Linked DNA regions of Daphnia pulex. The protein of the gene in region 2 purifies or fractionates together with the protein of the main gene of each other region. This does not show direct contact. Links are inferred from orthologs where the notes say so. Each region holds a gene or a part of one and is shown on either strand. Other genes may lie near its edges. The genes, in order: U2 small nuclear ribonucleoprotein A'-like, U2 snRNP-associated SURP motif-containing protein-like and calcium homeostasis endoplasmic reticulum protein-like.

What was found.
Region 1: the proteins of U2 snRNP-associated SURP motif-containing protein-like (region 2) and U2 small nuclear ribonucleoprotein A'-like purify together in Homo sapiens (affinity purification with mass spectrometry; 5 studies listed by BioGRID and IntAct, with this or other methods). This does not show direct contact. The link is inferred for Daphnia pulex from reciprocal best matches to the Homo sapiens genes U2SURP and SNRPA1.
Region 3: the proteins of U2 snRNP-associated SURP motif-containing protein-like (region 2) and calcium homeostasis endoplasmic reticulum protein-like purify together in Homo sapiens (affinity purification with mass spectrometry; 4 studies listed by BioGRID and IntAct, with this or other methods). This does not show direct contact. The link is inferred for Daphnia pulex from reciprocal best matches to the Homo sapiens genes U2SURP and CHERP.

What each region holds. Positions count from the first base shown.
Region 1 is NC_060021.1:10,325,639-10,331,041, forward strand, and holds U2 small nuclear ribonucleoprotein A'-like, read right to left. Parts: upstream 2,112-5,403; 5' UTR 1,969-2,111; coding exon 1,887-1,968; intron 1,750-1,886; coding exon 1,709-1,749; intron 1,650-1,708; coding exon 1,543-1,649; intron 1,479-1,542; coding exon 1,250-1,478; intron 1,187-1,249; coding exon 1,072-1,186; intron 1,010-1,071; coding exon 857-1,009; intron 794-856; coding exon 750-793; 3' UTR 620-749; downstream 1-619. Other genes in the region: lariat debranching enzyme B-like, read left to right, coding at 2,465-2,661, 2,731-3,022, 3,080-3,180, 3,252-3,438, 3,503-3,651, 3,708-4,278. UniProt on the Homo sapiens protein: Involved in pre-mRNA splicing as component of the spliceosome. Associated with sn-RNP U2, where it contributes to the binding of stem loop IV of U2 snRNA.
Region 2 is NC_060023.1:3,574,157-3,579,195, reverse strand, and holds the end of U2 snRNP-associated SURP motif-containing protein-like, read right to left. Parts: intron 4,990-5,039; coding exon 4,930-4,989; intron 4,599-4,929; coding exon 4,555-4,598; intron 4,165-4,554; coding exon 4,060-4,164; intron 3,989-4,059; coding exon 3,873-3,988; intron 3,817-3,872; coding exon 3,702-3,816; intron 3,639-3,701; coding exon 3,476-3,638; intron 3,407-3,475; coding exon 3,140-3,406; intron 3,071-3,139; coding exon 2,953-3,070; intron 2,893-2,952; coding exon 2,770-2,892; intron 2,707-2,769; coding exon 2,385-2,706; intron 2,321-2,384; coding exon 2,173-2,320; intron 2,085-2,172; coding exon 1,894-2,084; intron 1,789-1,893; coding exon 1,714-1,788; intron 1,577-1,713; coding exon 1,465-1,576; 3' UTR 1,355-1,464; downstream 1-1,354.
Region 3 is NC_060023.1:8,901,064-8,907,403, reverse strand, and holds calcium homeostasis endoplasmic reticulum protein-like, read right to left. Parts: upstream 3,603-6,340; 5' UTR 3,489-3,602; coding exon 3,464-3,488; intron 3,402-3,463; coding exon 2,962-3,401; intron 2,904-2,961; coding exon 2,612-2,903; intron 2,545-2,611; coding exon 1,797-2,544; intron 1,714-1,796; coding exon 1,294-1,713; intron 1,223-1,293; coding exon 1,078-1,222; intron 1,013-1,077; coding exon 848-1,012; 3' UTR 793-847; downstream 1-792. Other genes in the region: TELO2-interacting protein 1 homolog, read left to right, coding at 1-441, 506-625, 687-779; uncharacterized protein LOC124197929, read left to right, coding at 4,959-5,939. UniProt on the Homo sapiens protein: Involved in calcium homeostasis, growth and proliferation.

The DNA.
Region 1 (5,403 bases), on a different chromosome or scaffold from region 2:
CGATATCTTCCATGTACTAACGAATTATGCTGTATTCATTCAACACATTTTTTATCGGTGAAGACTCCAACGATGGTATTGGATATTATCAAATACTAATGATTTATTTGTAAATATTAGTAGAATTTTGAACTTAAAACGATCAGTTCTGGATTTTCGTATAGCTGTAAGTTGTAACCTACAAACCAAGTTTGCTGCCATTATCACATCATCATGGCGGTGTTAGCTCATGATATTCCGGATGTGGTATCGGGAAAAATAGGAGTGGGCGCCAAAAATCTTACTCAAAACAACGAAACTTACGCACGGGCACGCTCGTTAATGAAAGGACACGAAACGCTCTAAATTAGATCGTCTACAGTTTCCAAGCTACTCCTAACCCGTCATGTCCGGCTGAAAATAACGCACACCCCCACATCCGCCTTCTATGCATGACTCATTCCGCAAATGGCAGATGAGCCTCTTCCGAATACACGTAGGATATACACACTATGTAGCATATCTAATTCTATGACTGAAAATTGGTTTCGCTACGCATTTTTCACAACACAGTTTTGTTAAAATGACCAAATTTAATCGCTTCTCGGTCTTTTAACTGTGACACAAATTAGACGGGCAATTTGTAATTTCAAAAATATCTTTCTGCTACCTTATTTACTCTAGGGTAGCGATATTTTTATTATCAAAGTGTAGTCCCACATTCACATTAACAGCTTGATACAAATTAATTTTTACCCGTGATGGCATTGTCATTTCTCCATGGGTTCATCTTCTTCCTCCTCCATATCTTCACCTACAACAATTCAAAAGTTTTAACAAACGAAACAAGGAAGTTGAAGACAGGATGTGAATTTACCATTTGCATTTCCGTTTTTGCTGGAGCCTTGGGTGGCTTTTCCAGGTACGACACCTGCCCTCAACATTTGGTTTAGACGTTCTACCTCTTCCAAGGTGGAGGCATTAGCAACAGCTTCTCGGATTGCACGAGCCTCCTCCGCAGATGCACCACCTACACAAAATAATTTAATAACATTTCTTAGGCTAACAAAACAAAACATTTGTGTTTTTTACCTATCGGTGCCTTATTTCCCGCTTCAGCTGAAAGAAACTTGCTTTTCTGGGCGATTTCTTTCGCCAATACTTTTCCTTTCTTTGATTTGAATAGGTCTCGGGCGGCTTCTCTCTCCTTCAAATCAAGTTTTACATGAATAAGGAGGAAAATTCCTGATGTCAGGTAGAACATTATTACCTTAAGTTTTACTTTACGAAAATCCAACACCCTCAGGCTTGGCAACTTGTTTATCACATATGAACGATAATGTTGCTTATTTGCAACAGGATTGCTCAGTAGACTTAAATAGGTGAGTTTAGAGAATTCTGCTAATGGGTCAAGGTCGCCCAACTCTTGCAGATGATTATTTGTCAGGACAAGGGTTTCGAGGTTTGGAATGACTTCACCTAATCCATCAGCAATGCGTCTACAGATTTTAAAGAATCATTTGCATGAAATTAAATTTGTGAATAATACAACAAAAAACTTACAAGATTCTGTTGTTGTTTAGGAGAAGACTTTTAATTCGTCTCAGCAAGGGAAAACCATCCAATTTCCTTATGTCATTATCTGAAAAATCTATTGTGTCAAACTGATCCTGAAAAAAGAAAACACTCCAGTAACTGTTCAGCATGATTACACTACAAATTTACTTACTAAAGTTGCTCCTAGGTTTTCAATTACAGGAATCTTGTAACCTAAAATGATGACAAAAAATAGCTGTATTTTCACGAAATATTTTTACAATTACATCACTTTTTTTAAGCCAACACAAAAAACTTTTGAACTTTAGTAACTGACTGAATGAGATTGAAGCTGAACGCCGGTTACATACCTCTTAAATCTAGTTCTCTTTCTTTGATGGCATTCGTGTACTGGTGGCTCAAGTGAATGACCTCAGCCGTCAACTTCACCATTTTCTTTTTGGCTTTTTAAACCTTAAACACGTAATTGAATTTGGGAAAAGATGCAATTAAAACTTGAACAAAATGTTTTTGCACGTTTGTAGTTGACAAATCTAGGGATATCTAAGTGACGCCATGTGCGATGTTGCAACTCATTTCCGAATACATTTCCAAACAGGAAATTAACTTTTCAAACTAAAGTTTTATCAAAGGTTTTGTGCATCTGTAGCTTTTTATCTTGAAATATAAATACTTTTCTAAACTAAAGTATTTAAATTTGTCAACAAAATTAAAAAAAATTATAAACGTTAGAAAATATATGAAAATGGCTGTGTTTTTGCCGCTAGGTTTTAAGCAGACGACAATAGCCACGAACGATTCGGCTTCCAGTAAAACTGTAAACAACTTCAAAATATTGAGTTTGTGTTGTAACTTGAAAGCAAGTTATCAACTTTGAAACAGCATTTGACATTTATCTTAAAATATCAAGTTAAAGACAGTATAAAACATGATTATTGCTGTTGAAGGGTGCGCTCATGGTGAACTTGATCAAATTTACCGGTCTGTCGAGAATTTGGCGAGGCAAAGAAATGTCAAAGTTGATTTGCTCATCTGTTGTGGAGATTTTCAAGCTGTTCGAAACGAAAGTGACTTACAATGCATGGCAGTACCTGACAAATTCCGTCATATCTGTACATTCTACAAGTATTTATTTATAATTGTTTTAGACAAATAAGAGTTTATTGTAATTGTTACTGTTTTTTTCAATATCAGGTATTATAATGGTGAATTGAAAGCACCAATTTTAACTATTTTCATTGGAGGCAATCATGAAGCATCAAACTATCTACAAGAACTTGCATATGGAGGCTGGGTTGCTCCAAATATATATTATCTTGGCTATGCTGGTGTAGTCAAGTTTGGTGGCATCAGAATAGCGGGAATATCAGGCATCTTTAAAGGACATGATTACTTGAAAGGACATTTTGAAAAACCTCCCTACACAAACAGCACTATGAGATCAGCTTATCATGTTCGTAGTCTTGAAGTATTTCGCTTGAAACAGGTAATTACATTTTGATTGTTTTAAAGATTAAAAACTTAAATGTCTTTTAATTTTCAGTTAAAAGAAGACATAGATATTTTTATTTCACATGATTGGCCTCGTGGTGTCTACAATTATGCAGATACCAGAGAACTTCTGCATTGGAAACCATTCTTTCGGTTTGAAATAGTGTTACCTAATTGTTCCAAAACACAATTCAATTTACACATTTCTTTCTTTCCCCTTCCAGTGATGAGATAGCCCAAAATGTATTGGGAAGTCAAGCTGGAGAAACATTACTTCACGAATTGAAGCCTAAACATTGGTTTGCTGCCCACCTTCATTGTAGGTTTGCTGCTACAATCCAACATAATGAAAAACAATCAACTCAATTTCTAGCACTTGATAAGTGTCTTCCAAGACGTCAGTACCTTGAAGTAAGATTTAATTCAGAATATTCTCGAAAAATTTAACAATTTAACTGTTGGGTATATCTAAAAGTTGGTGGAAATTCCACATGATTCCACCCAAAATTTGGAGTTGTGTTATGATCCGCATTGGTTAGCAATTCTTCGGTCAACTAACCATTTAATGAGTGTTCGTCCAACTACTCAGTACATGCCAAGTGGAGGTCCTGGATGCACTGAAAGGTGACACAAAAGCATTAGTTTTTATTTTTATGGATGCTGACCTTTTTTTATGTAAGATGGAACTTTAATCCAAACGAAGAAGAAATAGAACAAGTGAAAACTATCTTTGACAACGACTACAAAATTCCGTCAAATTTCTCCTTAACTGCTGAACCATTTAAGCCTCGACCAAATTACAACAGAAATGCTCAGCAAGCACAAGCGCAATTGAATCCTCAAACTACACAATTTTGCGAAAAGCTTGGTATCGACGATCCCCTCGAAAAATTGATTGGGAAACCGATTATCCTCACTGCTCCCGTAGTTAATCCAGACGAAATTGCTCTTGAAGATGACGATGAAGAAGAAGAGACAGGTGACCATACTGAGGAGGTAGCTGGGCAGGACAATGGTATATTCTTTGTCGATACCAAACCGCTGAAGAGAAGTAAAATGAGTTTACCGCAGCCGCAAAATGAAACACATGAGGAAGAACCACATACTGCGGAAAAGGAAGCTCCCTTAGGAGGGATTTTGGATGAAAACGATTCAAGTGCTAAAGTAGATGATCAAGATGTACCTACTACCGTAAAGAAATTTAAACGACGCAACCAAGAACTTTACATGGACCCGGAAAGTTCTACATAGCTTTTAAAAATTAAAAAAGAGATGACCTGATTTTTCAATAAAATCTACTTGGAAAAAATGCATATTTTGCTATCTATTTACTTCGTTTAAGTTTTTTGCCATTTTAAATTTTCCAACAGTTGTATTCTTATTTAAGTAGGTAGTTTTCAGAAGGCAAGATAGGCAGAGTACGTTTACCTTGAAACATCACAGTTGTAGCTAATATTCAAGATAGAAAAATGTTATAGCCAATATGGAATGAGCTAGATAGGAGAAGATATGAAATTAAGACAAAATAATTGTACGAATGTTTGCATATTTGCACCAATCCATCCCAACATAGTTGCAAATTCTTAGGATTTGTAGGGGAAGTTTTTTACCGGAAAATTGTATTGGACAATTTTATGTCCGTGGAATATTTAAATTAATTTCTCCGTTATGCGGGTTCTGAAAACTAAGTAAAGTAAGAATGTGTCGTTGAAATCCAATACTGGAATTTGATTGGTCATTTTGGAGTAGTGGGCCGCTCCTGTGTCATCGTAGTCAAGAATCCGTGTTTAAGTCTAGGATGTTTTCAGCACTGCTTTGAAGTTGTTCTCCTTTAATTTACGTCGAATCATAATGTTGAATGAATCGTTTACTCCTTCTCTATTATGCGAGACACGATCTATATCCATCTTGTATTGATTGCAGTACAACCTTTATTAATCATAAAAGAAGTCAATCCACTGTCTGTTTAAAAATACCAACAAGCTCATTTTAAACATACCAAACACGGAAGGTTCTGTCCTCCTAGAATTTTTAGGTCTGAGATCTGGTCCTTGTTTAATAATCTTCAAAGGTGATCTCACAGCCTTGGATGTAGATAAAAATGAGAAACCAATGGATCACTATATCGATTGGTAAACGTTAGTTGCAACTCCAAAAACTAAAATGTAGAACAAAATACCTGAAGTTAAAGTGTGTTCCGGGTGGGACAGGTGGCTGGAACGTGAGAAGAAAGCATGCAACGCACACGTTCTCCCATTCAGACTTGACATCGTTACGGACGTCGAGGACGTTTTCCTCTTATATTCAGTTTTCCTACTTCGTACACGCAGAAGGAATTAATGGTCTGAGACTTCCTGGGCCCATCCGACATGGCGA
Region 2 (5,039 bases):
GAACGCTTAATGTGCATGTGAACTCTTTTATCAGAAGGGCTAGAAGAAGAAGAAAAAACAAACTCGTTTGTCTCGCCATCCGTCTTTATTTTTTTTCCGGGGTAATCAGATATATTTTTGGATGGGCCGCTGTGGTTGTATACAGGCATGGCAAATGTCTGAAAGTTTAGTTTCAAATAGTAGCGACGACTCGATAAACTACTACCACAACGTCACTCATGTCCTCACCACTCGACATTGAAAATTTCCAACCGGCTTTCCTCCCCCCTCGTCTAGCTTACATGTCACACCTTCCAACTGTTTGTTTAGATCGTTAGCTCTTCTTCCTGTTGGGTTCACTGATCTTCTTCAGCTGGAAAGCAACTTCTAGCGCCCCTCCCTCCTTTATCTCTCTCTCTCTCTCTCTCTACAGCTTCACGTGCCCGCCCAATCCCCCCTTTATAGCTCCTCTTTTTTTTTCACTTATTCCAGCCATGGAATGCATCGTAACCGAGACTTCTTTTTTTTTCTTTTTTCTTATATTACTAATGGGTCCTCTTGTACCATCTTCTTATTTTCGTCATCAAACTGTGCTCCCCTTTTGCAATTAAGAAATAATAAAAGATTCGCGCGCGCGTGTTTGTGTGTGTATCAGTATCCAAACTATTTTTTCCTTTGCTCTGCCAATTTGAGAAAAAAAATCCCTCTTCTTCGGTGGCGGATTCTTCCTGTGGCAGAACCCCACCGATTTTTTTTTTCTTCCTTGCCCTCTTTTCTTATTTTTTTTATTTTTAATTTTTATTATTTTCTTGTTTGTCTCGGTTTCCTGTGGCTGTAACAATAAAAAAAAATTCCACCATTTGCTGAAACATAAGCGATTCCAAACTGTATTCTTTTCCGTTTGTTGTGTGTGCTCCTCGCCCTCGTTTACTTGTGTGTGATACCATCTGGTGTGTATGTGTGTGTGTGTGTGGCCAGAATGTGGTAGAGACGTGTGTGTCATTCTCCGAAGGGTGATTTGCACATAACCTCTATTTTTGGAGAGACTCACTAGTATACGAAACCTGGGAAAAAGCAAAAACAATATAGATCCATGTGTGGAAGTAGGTGAGCAGCAAGGCCAGAGTTGTGTTGCCCGGCTCGGACTTCAACTGCAGACAGCGTAAACATCTGTGACGCGTCCCAAGTGCGTTCACGTATAAGTGTGAGAGGGATTTAAAAACGAGGACGTCGTCCCGGCCAACGACCGCCGACCAGGTTCGTCTCGTTAACCAGGTATTTGCTCCCACACACACACACAGGGGCACGCAGGGGTAAACAGTCGAATTCCCGATCGGTCTATACGACAACTGGCCACGAAACGACGGCTGTTGGATACCGCTAGAAGGCAGATTGTATTGAATACCAAAAAAAGCAAAAGTTGAACAACATCCGAGGGAACACGAAATTTGGAAAACTGCACCACCAAACAGCAGTCGAATCGTTTCATTTCAAATTTTTGGATTTCTTCTGGTTCTTAGACGGCCTTCGTGGAGAAGTCGAACGGCTTCGAGAGCGGCGAGATCGTTTCGACGAGTCATCGCTTTTTGATCTTGACCTATAAAATGTAATCATCATCCATTTAGTAGTAGTAGTAGTAATGGTAGTATTCGGTAAACGCTATAAAAGGACTCTGCACGCAGCAGTCCTTTTAATCACGAAATCTATCGACACGCTGCGGATGAATCATCATACCTCCGGGGGGTTCTTCGTAAAGTGTGACTCGGACTGGACGACCTCGATGATCTCGTTCGTTTTGATCGCGATGACCTAAAGGCAGCATAATTACACGGATGGCCAACAAATCATTCATTTGGGGTGGGGTCAAATGTCAAATTTGGGCGTGTTCAAATGTCAAACGAAGTTTCGACTTACTTTCTTGGCGATCTGGAACGAGACCTTGATCTGGAAATTGAACGTCGTCTATCTTTTTCTTTATAACGTTCCCTGTCAGTTGCCTGTCGACCAGAACCACGATCTGATTTCTCGGTACTGTGAGGCGTGCGCCGTTCTCTAGATTCGCGATCTCGACCGTCAACTGTTTCTTGGGAACGATCCCGTTTTGACTGTAACACGAAATCAAAGAAGGGAACCAGTGATTAACATCGCCAATTTATACCAAGTATTAGATATAAAGAATCTATTCTTTTTAACCTTGCGTAAAAGATGTTCGCGGTATTGTTGAACTTGTTCTGAAACTGACATGCCCGGAATCTGATTATGTAGTCCGGCTTCGAGTTCATCTTGGTAGCGAACGACTTTCAGTTCAAGCTCTCGCAGTTTCCCACGTTGATCCTCATTCCTAAAACATTCAGACAAAATTGGGAGTCGGTCAAGCAAAATGTATTGTAATTAACAATTACTACCTAGAACCGGAGCTGTGTCGCGTTGCCTCTGGTGACGAGTCAAGGGGCGCACCGTCGAGATCTTCATCTGAAGCAGCTCCTCTTTGTTTAGTGCTCTCCAGATCCGCAAAGATGTCCTCATTATGTTTGGCTCTACTCTTTTTTCTTGACGGCTCATTTGACTCTGAATCGGGGTCGATATTGTCCCACTTGCTAGTGGCTACAACCGGCGCCGGTGTTTCCCATTTGGAAGTTGATGATGACTTAGTTTCACGTCTCCGGTCTCTTCGCACTACCGGTGAAGACGAGCTTTTTATCGGGACTCCGTCCAAATCTTCAGACACTAATAACATTTATAAAAATTTTAATAGGTGAATTAATTAATTATTATAAAAATCAATTTTACTAGGCACTCCATCAAAATCAGCGTCATATTTGTTTGATTTCGTAACTGTAAATGAACGAGCTGGAGAACTAGTTTGGAGTTTGACTGCACTCCTCAAAAGAGCCGCACCGTCCAAAGGTACACCTGAAAAAAGAAAAAATTATTAAATTACTTGTACTTCAAAAACTTGTATTTGAAATAAACCATCCAAATCTTCGGAATCACTGAGTGGAGCTCCGTCGATTGCTTCTGCATCGTCAAGTGGAATGCCGTCGACGTCTTCAACGTTGCCTGAAGTCCGTTGAGAAACATCTTGATCGGCCTTTAAAGAAATCAAAATAATTAATGAAGTGTTGGAAAGATTTAAAAATAGAAAAAAAAAAAAACTTACAGAGACAAGGCCCAGAAAGACATTTTGCAAATGAATGAGGAATTCGGCTGGATAGACATTCCATTCTTCCCAAGCTCGAAAGCAGAGCATAACTCGTTGTCGAAAAGCTTCGGCTTTCAATCGGCTCTCGGTCGCCTCGTACGCTTGATGCATATAATTGACTATTTCCACCATGTGTGACTGGAATCCCGAACGGAAACTGGAAGCATTGACCGCCTTTGCAGACGAGTTGTAAAGGACGTCTGATACCAAAAAAAATCTTCCCAACTGAAAAAAACAAAAACAAGATTAAATTAAGTAGGTTTCTTCCAACTTGGAAGTCACGACTTAAATTACCTTTTGAGGAATATAGGTTTTGACACTATTGAGTGACTCGGTAACGAAATCGATGATTTCCTCGTAAGCTTCGGCGTGCTCGATGCAAAAAATCATAGCTTCCGCTACTTTGGATTTTTCAGGAGTCAATTTTCTCAACATCAATTCTAGTCGTTTCTTTTGACTATGGATTTGAACGTAAATTAGAATTGCTTAATGAATTAGAAAAAATAATTGTAGTAAATACGATTTGCTGAGCGATCGTCGGCGACTCTCATCATCTTCCTCGTCGGACGAGAAAAGTTCGTCTGGCATGCCCTCAGAAAACGGGTTCATAGACGGGGGTTTCCAGATGGAACCGCCTATTAATTTTTAAAAATGAGCGCTGGATAATTTACAGAATAAAAAGAAATTTTACCTTTAAACATGCGAAAGTCTTCTGTGGACCACACATTACCAGACTCGCCTTGTAGGATTGAGAACAATTTCCAGCGATAGTAAATGTGAGCTGGACTCCGGTTTTCAAATAGAAACCTGATTGCAAAAGTAAAAAAGAAATAATAATTACTATCCAACAACATTTTTAGAAAAGACAATTTAGGTACCTGAATTGCTGGTTATCAATTTCCTTGTTCATCACCATGGCCTCAAGCATTGGGCCCTCTCGAACAACAGATTCGATCATTCGATGAATCAAACACAACAAATTTCTGTGTACGCCAGTTCCAGAAAACCAAGTTCAACATACGTATGACACGCACAAATGTCAATCGTACAGATTTACGTGGTGATAAAAATGAAAATGTTAAGATTAGCTACCGACTTAAAAAATTTTGTTCGATGATTTAAAAGAAGTGGGTCAATTGAAAAAGCAAAATTTCTTTCTTTTTTTTTTTGGTCAAGCATTCCGAGTGTTAGTTAAAAGTTTACAAAGGAATTAAATAAGACTTAAGGAATAGTCGCATTGGAAGAATGAAAAGAACAATGTGTTGTTCCTTCGTGACAAAACGTGTATACTCCCTGGGGCTCGGAGGGAGCAGGGTAATGTCACACAGCCGCGCAGCTTCAAGGTATTATGAGGCTTGATCTTTGTTACATACCTGTCTGTAGGGATAACCACTTTGACAACAGCCCTGGATATAATCTGCGAGAGAAGCAGCAAACCCGGGTGAAACATCAACATATTTCCAAACACACAATAGTATGAGAGCAGTGAGACACGAACAACGGTCTTCACTAGCCAAACGAATGCAACGCATGAAAACAAATTTTTGGCTGGGTTTCATCGCTTTCCGCCGAAGAACACAAATAGAAAAGATGAGACCTCCCAACGAAGCGACCGCACACAAAGCACTCGCTTCTTTTTATCCGCCGACCATGAGTAACAATGCCGGAACAGGCGGATAAAAAGTCTCGAGTCTTGTGTCAGTCATATTGCTGGGTTGATTGAAATAGCTTAGCCCATCCCCCAATACCTTGTTGAAGTTCTCCAACGCCTCGCCGTGTGTTGGGTAGGGTGTTCCGGGTGGCGGGATCTGTGACAAGGGAAATATTAATTTCAATTATGTTTGAAAGAACATCTAAG
Region 3 (6,340 bases), about 5.3 Mb from region 2:
GAAAAACTCTACGCCAGTTTGATGCAAACCATTTGCTTATCAGTAGAGGTGCTTTCTTCTCACGAAGATATTTTTTTGCCGAAAGTGCACAAACTTTGGGAGCCTTTAAAGAATCAGCTGTTGGGAACATCACATCTCAAACAGAGGCAGGCGTTTGAGATTTTCCTTTCATTAGTTCGTCGCTGCCCAGATTTTATTCGCCATCGAGCTGTCAAAGAAATTCTTCATAAATTGGTGCTATTCCTGCAAAGCCAGGCTACTGCTAGTCGTGGCCGATCTAGCAGAGCGCACATTGCCAGCCAGTCGTACAAATTACAAAAATCCGTACTATCCGCCATGGCCACCCTAGTTGAATTCATCGATCCACCTGTATTGGAAGTTTGTAAAATCGTTCAAGCGATTTCTTTGTACCTCAGCAACCAACAGATTTCAGAACTTCAGGTTTGCAACTATTCTTCCTTATGCTCTTAATAATATCCTATTGAGTATCGTGTTTGTTGTTTAGAGTTTAGCAAAGGACAACTTGGTCGCCATAGCCAAATATCACTCGGGGTCCGTTTGGTTAACTTTACATAGCATGGTGTCTAGACGGACTTTAACACGCCCAGGTTTTCGATCCATCATGGTAAAATTGCGTGCATGATTATATTGACTCGATTTTTTTTAATCAATCTAATATTTCTTAGGTTGGTACTACAAACGACGAAAGTGAATTTACAGTCAACGCTGAAGAATTGGTCAAACAGCTGTTCCCCCTTACTTGTTCAGGTCACCATTAAACGGATATCAAGGTATAGACGAATCGACTGTATTTCGTGAGTTAAGCAAAAGTAGAGTGAGTGAATTCTCATGGAGTTGGAGGATCGTCAGGTCCGCCCTTTTCTTTTTCTCGTTCTTCGGCCCTTGAGCGCATTCTCGTGATGAACGCCTGACCTTTGCTTTTTCGGAAATTTTCAAAAGGATCACGTATATTGATACCGACACCTTTGAACTGGTCCAAACGATCGCGAACCTGAAGAACGAAAAATATCAATCCGCTATTCTGTTGACACAAAAATAGTACCGTTCGATCAATACCTCTCCTCCTTTGATGGGTTCCGCTATGCCTTGTTCATTTGCGCCGAGTCCAGCTCCTCCCCAACCCATTTTGCACAAGAGTTGATGCCCTCGGTTGTTTTCGTCCAGCTTTGTCGTGAAACCTTTGGCAAACGACACGGATGCACTGCAAAACGCCGAATCAAATTTAACCAAATCACATTGACCTAACTTAAGGAAAAAAAAGGGGTTGGTTACATTTCTGAAGGTGGCGTGGGGCTCCGCTTTTGCGCAAAACCGGTCATCGTGACGGGCGAATTAGATCTTGATTCCGAACGACTAGGTGTAGGAGAACGAGAGCGTGCAGCTCGACGGGGCGACTCTGAATTAGATCGACTTCGGCGACGTCTTGTTGAATTTCTAGGCGATCTGGATCGTGATCGAGCTTGCCTCGATTCTTCTCTATGCTCTTCCTCGGGCGACTCACTGCGGAATCTTCGACGCACGGGACTTCTGATTCCATTCTTACCACTTCTTTCAGGGGAATGATCCTCGACAACTTCGATAGGAGTTCGAGGCGGCGACATGTCGCGTAATCCCTGAGCAATATCTTCTTCTTTCTTCTTTTTCGCAGTTGCCTTGTTCTTATAAAACTCGAAAAGAGCCATCTGCTCCCACCTAAAAAAAAAAACAAGAAAGAGAAAAGTTGAGAAGAAGAAGCTTGAATGATAAGCCAACAAGAAAGGAAATCTATCACGAACCCATCTGCGTTTCGTGGTCGGTCGTGCGAGAGAGGACTGTAGAAGAAATCAATGGCGGCAATCAATCGCTCAGACGGTGGGAGCGGTGCAGGAAGGCGGATATCTTTCGGATCGATGCTTTTGTACTCGCTGTCTTCCATTCTCACCAGTGGGACGAGTAATCCCGCTGGTAAGTCGAAGTAGGGAGCCTTTGGTTCAATTCCTTCACACGGGTAGTTTTGCGGGGCATTAAGGGAAGCAACTGGCGGCGGGCGAGATAAGAAATCCGGCGGCATGGCGTGATGAGGTGCATTAAAAGACTGCAAAGCATTGGCCGCCGCGATTTGTTCTTCAATTTGCAGTTTCTGTTGCTCTAGCTGCTGAATCTGGTGGTTGGCATGATTGACGAAGGCTTGATGCTGGCCGCGGTAGTTTTCGTACGTATGCTGAATGTTGCTAGTTGAAGCTGCTACGGCTGCCGAGTATTTGGCCACTAGACTGTTGTGGTATTCATTCCAGATGTGTAAAGGTGCGTGTAACCTTTCCAGGACACCACGCTCAAACAAATTATTTTTCGTTTGCCACAAAACGACCAGTTTTTGCAATTTGGCGTTTTGCTCCTCGTCGGTTGCAGACAGACTAGTGTTTGAAAACATGTGGACGACAACTTGTTCGAGTGTCTTTAAAAGCGTGTCGGGTCCTTTGCGGAGACAATGGTGTAACACGTCGTTGACCAAATAGATCAAGTGAAGTTTGTGGGTAAATTGACCTGTTGATTCAGAAAGAAAAAAAAATGCTCAGGCAATGCCAAGTAGCCACAACAGAGGAAAACTTACTGCTTTGAGTTGTTTTGAAAAGGAGATATTGTGCTATGGCATCAGAGGATGAATGAGGCTGCATCACATGATGGAGAATCCAAGCTTTACCCTGAGATATGGATTCTTTGGTGCAAGAATCCATGATAGGCAGTAAAAGCAATTCTAACTCTGCCAAATTCATTCCACTTGCCAACGCTTTTTCCATGACTTCTTTTTCGTGTTGCAACTTGACTGTTTCCTCTGTCTGCTTTTTCTGCTGTTGCACTGTCACTTGATGTTGAGCGGCCAAGTTGCTTTCACTTTGTTTGATCTGGTGAACCAAACCAATTAGTATTTACTATTTTTGATATGATCTGGAGTATGTTTACCTGTTCCTGCAGTTGAGTTTGTTGGGCAACGAGTACATCTTTTGCACCTTTTAAAGCAATCAAATCTGTTTGAGGAGGGATGGGATTTTGTCCAGGAAATGACATCTGATTGGGCATTGATGGCTGTGGGTGAGCCCTAGGCCATGCAGAAGAAGGGCCATAGTTGTAATTCCTATTGAAACTGGGATGTTCTGTATTAGGCGGTGGGCCATAGTTGATTGGATAGCTCATGGGTTGACTTTGCTCTCGGACAAACTTTTGCTTGTTAATTGCTTGCTCTGTTGTCACACGGTACTGGTAGTAGTTGAAAAGTTCCCCACCAAACAGGAAACCAAACTTGGGGTTATCTCGTTGTTTGTTTTTCGTCATTTGCTCAAATTCGGGACCATTTCTCGCCACAAATTGAGCTAACTTGTCAATAATGTTGCGCAGTTCTATGTCTATAAAAATATTTGTTGTGAACAAATTGATGAGGAGATTTTTCAATTTAAACGGTTATTACCTTCGGGAGGACGAGGTAGATCCATTGCAGAGTTTTATGTTTTAAAACTTTAATTAAACTTTAGGCAATCAAAAACACACATACATATGCAACTGTGAATTGTTTCGATGCCGGCATTAATAGTTCGTGTTGAATTCCGCCAGAGTCTAGTAAACGGTGCGTTTTTGCTAAACTAGATGGCGTGAAGTTCGGTGCGAATAGTAAATTCCCTAACGTGTGACAAGAATTTCAATTGGGGAAAAATTTCTTGTTTGTATACATCGAATGCAGCTTTCCATATTTATGAGTATATGCTTCTTTGTAATTCAAACTCGTTTTCCACATAATTAAAGGTTGATATGATGTGTTGACGCGTTAAGTTCCAATCTCTTTCCTCGTCTCGCTGGGGGGGAGTCTGACTCTCTCTCTCGCGCTGCAGGTCGTGTCATCACACGCAAAGTAATCGGTCAACCAACAATTACAGCAGTAGCACACATGAATAGATACATCAACTCTCAAACGGACAGTTCGCTTTTTCTTCGCTATTTCAAAATGCGTTCTTGGCAGGGTCCCAATCGAACGATGTGTCGCAACAAAAGACACACCAAATATCATAACTCTTTGTCCCAGATGAACTACCTCTTTTTTAATATGACAGTGTTTCGGGGCAATGATGACCAGTGGAAGACCATTTTTTTCGCCTGTTCTTCTTCCTATTTCCGTTCTCGACCGTTCGGGTAACATAATAGCTTGAGTGGGCGGCTGCGAATGCCAATAATATACATCAGCAGTGTGTGTGTGTGTGTGTGTGTGTATGCGAGTGTGTGTGTATGGCGCCCAAAATAGTAGCACACTGCATCCAACTTGAGCCAAGTTTTAAAATATTTGGAAGCAACTGCGAAAAAAAGGGCGAACACCAGACCAGAAAGAAAATGAGAAGCGCGTCGTGTAGGAAAAAGAAAAATTCAAACTAAAAACAAACAAATTTGCCAGTTTTTCGTGGGCAAAGTTAGTCGGCGATCGGGTCGTGAGCAAATCGGCCGCATACAAAATCTTCTTCCTTGTTCTAATATTAAAATAATTGGAGGAAAAAAGTCGTTGGCGTTGGAAAGAATTCGACAGATTGTGTGTGAATCGAAATAAGTGTATTTGTTCAAGTGGAAATGAAATAACCCAAAATATTTTTGACTGATTGTGTAAAGTGCTCTTTCGTTTCAATTTGATCCAAATCATTCAAAACAACATTTTATTTCTTCCACTCGATTTTCAGAGATCCGGAGGGAGGTCCAGTAGCTCGTCGAATGGCGCCGAGATGGTTGGGTGTTGTGTTTGATTCATATGCCAAAACACGAGCCCTTTTTTGAAAAAAAGTTGACCTTCAATCAACTTCGTATTCCGACGTTGCGGAGTGAGAGGAATGAGATGCGAGTCTGGCAGACGATAGCTGAATCGTGAGACGAGGCATGCGTTGTGCCACATTGGCTGCCGGGAAGGCTCGGATTCCGCTCGGACGACCATGTCAGTCAAAGCGGAATTGAACGACGAGACTAAATTCATGGATCTAAGTGCCATCGGGTGCAGTTTGTTACTGGAACAGCCCAACTACACTTGTGCTGGTGGTGCTCGATCAGATACCAGCATCACGGTGACCATGTCCGGGCCCAACGCCATATCCGGTCAAGGCGGAATCTACCAGTCCAGCAACTACCTTAGTCCACGTCAGGCTCCTCCTCCGCCCTATCCTGGCGGACTGACGCCTTACCAAACGCCTTACCATTCGCCCTACGTCAGCCCTTATGCAACGCCGTTCCAAACACCGTCGCCGAGCCCCCTGTCGTCAGTCCAATCCAGTCCGGGCACTTCCACGTGCCACAGGACAAAAGGCCCTGGCATCGACGACGAATTGGCAATGATCCTCGAAAGTGATCCATTCATTTGGGAACAGCAGCCTGGCAATATTCAATCGGCGATTCAGGAAACAATCAAGCAACCACCGCCACCTTATCCGCTACAGCCGGATCGGGTCACAGGACGTCCACCGCATCCGCGCTCGTCCCCGACGACCCAACCGTCACGGACCCAATTGAAACAGCAACTTCAGCGACAACAACTGGAGCAGCAGGAGCGTCGCGAGCGCGAACTAATCAAACTCCACCAATCCGCCGGAAGGGCGGCCAGTTGCCCTTCTGAGAAACTGGGGATTCCCATCATCGTCCCGCCTCAGCAACAGCCGAGCGTGATGGAACCCGTGTCGGTTCCGCCGCAAGTTTTGACGGTGCGCACCCGGCTGGAGAATCCGACACTCTACCACGTCATCGAATCGCGGAAGCGCCAGGTGCGCGAATTCCTCCAGCAGGGACATCAACAACAAGGGTCCGATTCGTGTCCGATGGATCAGCGACCCATCACCGCGGTCAATTCCGCCCCGCCCGGCGGATTCGTCATCCCCGTGACCCACCAGCATCCCTCCTCGTCAGCAGCTCCGACCGACGCCGAGGTAAAGTCAAATATCCATCCAAACCCAAACCGACATCCTGCTTTTCTTCTTCTTCCGCCTAGCTTTAATTTAGCGTTCATTTCCGTTTGAGAGAGATTTCTGACATTAATGAGGAAGTAATGCAATTGTTATCGAAAAATTTCCGCCCCCCCCCCCTCCCCTCCTTAGAGAATTTTTCTTTTACTGCCGGATCGAGTTGAGCTCAAATTGATCCGTCGCAATGATGAATGTGCGGATTCGTTCTCCCCCTCTCCACGGCGTAAAAAGGAGATTATTTCTTGTCTTTTTCTCCCCCCCCCCCCTTTTGCTTCCCCTCTGCCGGGTTGGCATTGCGCAAGTCAAGACGTCGGCGGAATAGCGTCGGCGTGGCCCCTCCTATATTTGCGATTCCGATGGATGAG